2 linked regions of the Drosophila melanogaster genome follow. The protein of the gene in region 2 interacts with the protein of the main gene of each other region in a pairwise test. Each region holds a gene or a part of one and is shown on either strand. Other genes may lie near its edges.

Evidence for each region. The genes of interacting proteins can lie anywhere in the genome.
Region 1: the proteins of CG10344 (region 2) and CG12012 interact in a two-hybrid assay, tested with the Drosophila melanogaster proteins (one large-scale study listed by BioGRID).

The regions. Positions count from the first base shown.
Region 1 is NT_037436.4:3,374,888-3,378,545, forward strand, and holds CG12012 (uncharacterized protein), read left to right. Parts: upstream 1-1,869; 5' UTR 1,870-1,993; coding exon 1,994-2,060; exon of another isoform or gene 2,061-2,111; coding exon 2,112-2,413; 3' UTR 2,414-3,105; downstream 3,106-3,658. Other genes in the region: CG12010 (uncharacterized protein), read left to right, coding at 1-289, 347-1,147, 1,204-1,700; Ids (iduronate 2-sulfatase), read left to right, coding at 3,398-3,601.
Region 2 is NT_033778.4:22,425,233-22,428,546, forward strand, and holds CG10344 (uncharacterized protein), read right to left. Parts: upstream 1,746-3,314; 5' UTR 1,682-1,745; coding exon 1,450-1,681; intron 1,395-1,449; coding exon 790-1,394; 3' UTR 750-789; coding exon of another isoform or gene 570-749; 3' UTR 512-569; downstream 1-511. Other genes in the region: rad50, read left to right, coding at 1-225; CG46442 (uncharacterized protein), read left to right, coding at 344-511, 570-749; ppk12 (pickpocket 12), read left to right, coding at 2,247-2,398, 2,458-2,658, 2,723-3,004, 3,056-3,171, 3,225-3,313.

The DNA.
Region 1 (3,658 bases), on a different chromosome or scaffold from region 2:
TTCAAGTATTTGCCACACAGCTTCGAGCGACCCATGGAGCAGTTGGAGAAGCTCCTGGAAACCTCTAAAATCAGCTTTTCGCATAGATTTCCTACTACAGCATTGGTTGTGGGTCCGGTGGACTGTGGAAAAAGTGGTCTACTCAGTGAGTTCCTGCGTCGTCATAGCTGCAACTGTTTTTACATTACAGCCAGCCAGGTGCTGCGCTCATATCCCGGCGAAACCGAAGAGGAGTTGAGGAGGATCTTTCAGGCTGCTCAGACTTTCAAGGAGAAACTACGTCCATTATGTAATTTTCACAGTGTTTGTTTTACGTTTGAAATATTAATTAGTTTTATATTTATAGTGCCAATTGTAATCCTCATTGAGGATCTGGAGCTGCTCTGCCCCTCAACGGCTGTCGCAGATGCAAAAAACTCTAGCAATAGCCTACGAATTTCAGCTGAGCTCTACAAACTGCTAGACGCACTTCCTCGAGGCATCATATGTCTGGCAACTTCTGGTGTCCCGGACTCCTTGCATGAACATGCGCGCAGGCGGTTCGTCCGAGAGGTGACCATTAATATGCCCAGCGAAGGGCAGCGCAGACAACTCGTAGAGCATCTCTGCGAAGTACACGAGCTGAATATCTCACAGACTTTACTCGAGCATATAGCGAGAAACACTCAGGGATATGTGATAGCGGATTTAACACTACTCCTGCGCCGCGTTCAACAGCAACTCTTAACAAAAGACGACTTCGACATAGAGCACATTTTCCTCAAATCCCTGTCACAAACTCAACCGAGTGCATCTCGATCCACAGATGTGCGGGTCTCGAAGATGACGGCTGGGTTTGAGGTTATCGGAGGCATGGAAGCACTGAAACGTACCTTGCAAGTCTCCGTTCTAGCGGGTATAAGACAAAGTGCCGCTTTTGCTCGATTCGGACTAAGTTTGCCCAAAGGAGTGCTGCTCTATGGACCTCCAGGATGTGCCAAGACCACCGTAGCCAAGTGCCTGGCCAAGGAAGCTGACATGACCTTCATTGCTACGTCGGCGGCGGAGGTGTACTCTCCCTACGTCGGTTGCGCGGAAAGATTTATATCGCGAATCTTTGACACAGCGCGAAAAAATGCACCCTGTCTTATATTTCTAGATGAGATAGGTGAGTCGGATAAGCTTAATTTGCCATAAAAATGATTAATCCACTTAATTTTATAGATTCGCTTGTTGGCAGAAGGACGGTCTCAAGTGGCGGAGGTGGTGGACAAGTTCAGCTGAGGATTCTCTCCACGCTGTTGACCGAAATGAATGGCATTGTGGGGGGTGGTAGTCAGCAACATATACTTGTCGTTGCAGCCACCAATCGACCGGATATGATCGATGATGCCCTACTGCGACCAGGACGCTTTGACAAGCTTATCCATGTACCAGCCCCAGATGAGAAATCCCGCCTGGCTCTGCTAAAACTCCACTCCCAGCGCATGCCTTTCCATGAAAATGTGTTTCTCCAGGAGATTGCTGCCCGAACAGACCGGTATTCTGGAGCGGATCTGTGTAATCTCTGCAATGAGGCGGCTATCGAGGCTTTTCAACGTGACTTTAAGGCCACGGAAATTGAGCTACAAGACTTTGAAAAAGTTCTGACCAAGCAGAAATCCTCGCTCACTCAAAGCCAAATAGATGGCTACTATAAGTTTGCTTATAGGTTCTTATAGAACAAGATGTATGTGCAGTTGCATTTGTTAGTTTTGCATAAATAAATGTATTTTAAGATGTTAAATCGTAGAATTCTTTGCTCAAATTCAAACTACTGATTTACGATATGTACTCCCGCGACCACGATTACCAATCGATAGAATAGTCGCAGTCAGCTGTTGCAACGATAACTGATTGCGGCAAAACAAAGAAAACGCAGAGAAAAAGTTAACGCAATTAAACGTAGTAAAAAAGCCTAGACTATTTTCATAACAAGAAGCAGTGAGTCACAAAAAAAAGCTTTCCGGCCACAATGGCAGATACCCGTAAAGACGCCGCGCCGCCGAGCTACGAAGAAGTCATGAACAGTCCCTCGCAGGGTAAGTAATAGGCTCACTAAAGGCATCCAATTCAATGCACATCTTTTTTAGATTCCCGGCTGATAGTGGGCGTGCATCAGGGAGCACCTAGTGCTCCGCCACCAAACATGCACATGCCAACCTACGGAGCTTTCGAGACGACGCCGGTCAGCGTGGTGATTCAGCCTGCTCCGGTCGCTATGCCCACCGAGATCATCGTGATTGGAGGATGCCCTGCATGTCGGATTGGATACCTGGAGGACACCTTCTCCGCCTGCGGACTGTGCTGCGCAATCTTCTTCTTCCCGCTGGGAATTCTCTGTTGCTTGGCCATGCGTGAGAAGCGCTGTTCCAACTGCGGAACGGTTTTCTAGAGGGGATTACCCAGAAATTATCCATAAAGAAACGCTAAAAGTTGATCCCTATTAGGCTTTCGCGGTGGGTGACTATCACAAAGCACCAATATTTTTGTTATTGTTAATCGTTAGCTCGCAAATCATTATATACTATGTGTAAATATTATTCATGCCAGCCTGCGGAATGCCCCCGATTCCATTCCAGTCCCTGTCCGGAGAATGGTCATGTACAGTGAAATATGCTAAACTCGAATTCAAATCAGTAAGCCCAGTTATGAAAAAAATGCTAAAAAAAATCAGTTGAACATGTTTTCCAATTGAATAGTGATTTGGCTTTTTACAAGGATTTTAAGTAACATAAGTTTTAAACTGCAAACAAAAGAAAAAATATTTATATATTTAAATAAAAGGTTTACAACATGTTTATTATATCTTAGAGTAATGGTACGCAGATATAATGACTTGGACGGTTTTAGATATGAACTAGGTTGTACAAAACTTCATTAGTTCTTGATTTGTGAATAATTTGACCCACTGTTGCATTTCGTGATTATAGAACTTTTACTGTACTTGTAAAATGTGCACTGTAAGCGTCGACGAGGCGCGCTTCCGTTAAATTCAATTGAAATATAATGGAGGGCGGTTTTGAATTGCGCCGCCCGTCCGATTTCTCTTCTCCATGCTCTTTGGACTTTACCGCGCAAAACAGTAAACAAGTGAAGTGTTTTAAATGAATTTGGGAATGACATAAATATACCCTTCAAATGCATCAGGAGATTAAAAGAAAAACCCTTCAAAACGCCATATTTTAGATATTTGAATTTTTGAATATATATAGATTACTTGATTTTCAAAATTTTTATAAAACCAAATGTATGAGCCGCTGATATACCCCCTTATCAGATTTCATGGGCACAGGGTAGCACAACAAATTCGCCGGCATCCACATCCGCCGTGTCGGCATCTTCGAGTCAACAGTTGTGAGCTTCCTTCGCCGTAGACATGATCACTGCTCGTCTCCTGCTCTCGCTGATGATGCCAGTGCTGCTGGACGCAGCTGCTCCGCCACGACGGCCGAATGTGGTGATGGTGATCTTTGATGATCTGCGTCCAGTTATTGGAGCTTATGGCGATACGCTGGCCAGCACGCCGTATTTGGATAACTTTGCTAGAGGAAGTCACATCTTTACAAGAGTTTACAGCCAGGTGGGCAGCCTGTGATCATTGATGTGCGGACCTAATAAAACACATATATATTGAATC
Region 2 (3,314 bases):
GATCGCGCCAATATAAACTCGCTATGTGAAGCCCTGAATTGCATCGTGGAGGAGCGCCAAAGCCAGTCCAACTTTATGCTCATCATCATCACTCACGACGAGAATTTCGTTTCGTCTCTGGGCAAGATAACCTCCTACCATCGGGTCTTCCGCAACGAGGAGTGCAAGTCGGTTATACGGAGAGTGGAGGCGGGTCCATCAAAGAAAGCTTTGATAGATCAATAAAAAATATTATTTTTGTTATCAATCTATGTTTGCTTGTCTAGTCATCAAATCAGTTATAGACGGGGACAATTGGCCGCGCAGGTGTGGTAACAAAGAATGATGGGTTTAGTTTTTAGAAATGGCCAATACGTGTGGTCTGTTGCTGCTGGCAATACTTGCTTATGCAGAAGTTGCATGCCACTCCGTACAATTTGGCATGCTGCACTTTCTAGCTGTTCCCATATATGAGACTGAAATATTCACCACTGAATTTGTGGATTTCGTAGACGTGAAGTACACACAAAAGGTATTTTAAATATATTACTTTAAATAAAGTGGAAGATCTCTTAGGTATTTTTGTACAGGGTAGCATGTGCTTTCATATAAACATGATATTGGTCATCGATGAAAGTGAAATGGAATGGAAAGGCCAGGCGTCCGTTCTGTCCGGCGGTATTGGTTACAACTTCACTATCTTAAGACTAACATTTAACCAGCCAGAGGTTGCCAAAGTCACAGTAGTCATTTACGGGATCCCCAGGTAGGAACTGCACAGCAGATATTTATCCTAGATCCTAATCAGTCTTAGTCTTGTTTGTTCGTAGGGACATTCCAGTGGTATCCGTCTTCCGGCAGATCGCTGCGAATCAGTGGGGACAGCCACGCTAAATGCATGCGGTTTCCAAAAACGCTCCTTAGATTTTGATACACTCCTCTGTCGTACTTTTCTTTGCTCTCCTTAGTGCGATCGGCGGAAACACCGCCCCTTAAAACAATGGGCACATGGTAGGCCAGGAGGAGGACTCCATAAGCCAGAGCTAAAATATTTAAGCTGTAGAAGACCAGGTACATGTTGGTCCAAAAACTGCCCGTTACCAGGTGTAACATGGGGCAGGCGAGTTTTAACACCGTCACCCAGTTGCTGTAGATGTGGCCGTGGATGACCCACATGTATATGGAGTTGTACACCAGTGCGTAAACTGATCCCACGAAGAGATAGAATATAAAGCCCATGAAGAAGCGATGGTTTCTGAGTCCAATGCAGCAGCCGGTGTAGATACAGTGGTGATCCCGCTTCAGAATGCACACTTTGCAGGCCTTGCAATGCCAAGATCTGGGTGGTGCTAGCTTCTGGCACTCGCCGCACTCACGCCAATTCAACTGATCCGATGGTGGTTCCACCTTTTTCACTGGAAATGGGATATGCATTTTATCGGATTTATTATAAGACCTGCTGCGACTTACCATTTACACTTGTGTCAATCATCATGCAGGCAATCATGTTTCCCTTGATGTTAAACACCAGGAACATGGCCATAAGAAAGGTGAAGGTGTGGAAGAAGCCACCCGGTTCATGGAAGGCAGGCAGCACCACCACAATCTCGAACATAAACACCACCGGGAGAAAGACCGCAATGATGAGGAAGCACAAGATGTCCACCATCCGGCTGGGCATTGGGTTGCTCCGGATTCTCATGATCTGTGCTACTAAGGTAAATAAATAGGCACCGATCTCCGATATGTCAGAAAGAGAACTAACTTGATAACCGGTTGCTGTAACATCACGTGCGGTTGAGCTTTATTTTATCAAGCTTTCGAGGCCAAAGCTAATGGGTCGCCGGTAAAAAGCTCGCTTTCTATGTTTTTGCGGCGAAAAGTTTGCGTTCAGTATGATTGAATGTGATTCATTGAACCCGAGTTCAATATAATTTGATAAACTCCAAAGCTAACCGAATTAAAGTTTGATATCAAGCGCGGGGTGGTGTAAAACTGCGGCCATGCACTTATACATGTTATCAAGACGGGCCACACGTCGTATGCTTGATGGCGTGTGCCATGAATACATACATATACATTTAAACGCCAACGGCAAGCCAGCATTGAGAATTTAATTAACTTGAAAGGATTCACTCCTTCGAATGCCGCCGTAATCGGGGTAAAACCTTAATTACATGCCTCTTTAATAAGTGTGCCGACACCTGATTGCTTGCGATATCAAGTATTTATGCAGGTGTCAAGGGTCATTAAGTAAACAGTTCGCTATGGAACCGTCGCCGTCAGCCGGAACGGAAAGGCAGGGATCCTCGTTATTTCTGCTGAAGAGCTTCGTCAGGAGTCTGCGGCAGTTCCTCAACCAGACTAGTCTGCATGGACTCAAGTTTGTGGGCGATTCCGGCCTGAGTAGCTGGGAGAGGTGGGAAAGGAGCACATCCAAGTGCGGATTTTGAGCTACATTTGCAAAACCCTTTTTAGATCGTTTTTCCTTGGCTCCTTTGTCACCGCCCTCATCATCACGGTGCACCTCATATCGAACATCTATGTGAAGTGGGATAGCACGCCGGTTATAATCGGCATCAGCCCACAGGCCACCTCCATTTTGAAGGTTCCTTTTCCGGCAATAACCATATGCAATATGAACCAGGTGCAGAGGAGTCTGGTAGCCAATTACAGAGAGTAAGTTCGGTTTTCCTCTAAGGCAATCGTCCATCCATCATTTTGAAATTAAATTATGTTCCAGGGGCTCCAATGAAAGTGCCCTTCTGAAGCTATTATGTGAATCGGATAGCTGGGAATCCAGTGAGGCTGATGAGGAGTTCTCCGCTTCGAATTTTGTCACGAACAACCTGAAGATATCCGAATTTGTTTCAAATCACTCGCAGTCCTGCGAGAGAATGTTGCTTTTTTGTAGATTCAGTGCCGTGGAGCGAAACTGTTCGCAACTGTTTCAGCAGATCCTGACGGATGAGGGCCTGTGTTGCGTCTTCAATTTTCAACCACCGGAATATCTCTACAAGCCATTGTAACTAGATGGGTTCATTAAATTAAAATAATTGATTTATTGTTTTGACAGTGCAAATAACAACCGGAACTTGACGAACTCTGATGGGTTTGAAAGTGTTATGTGGGATCCGGAGTCAGGATATCCGGAACAATTGCCCCCCAAGTTCTATCCAGCCACCGCTAGTGGTAAAATATCAGAGAATCGTTAATGAATAGAGTATTTCAAATATGTACTATAGGCACTGGTATCACCTTGGGATTTACTGCCGTACTTGATGCTGAGATGGGCGAATACTATTGCTCTTCGACCAATGGACCTGGTTTTAAAG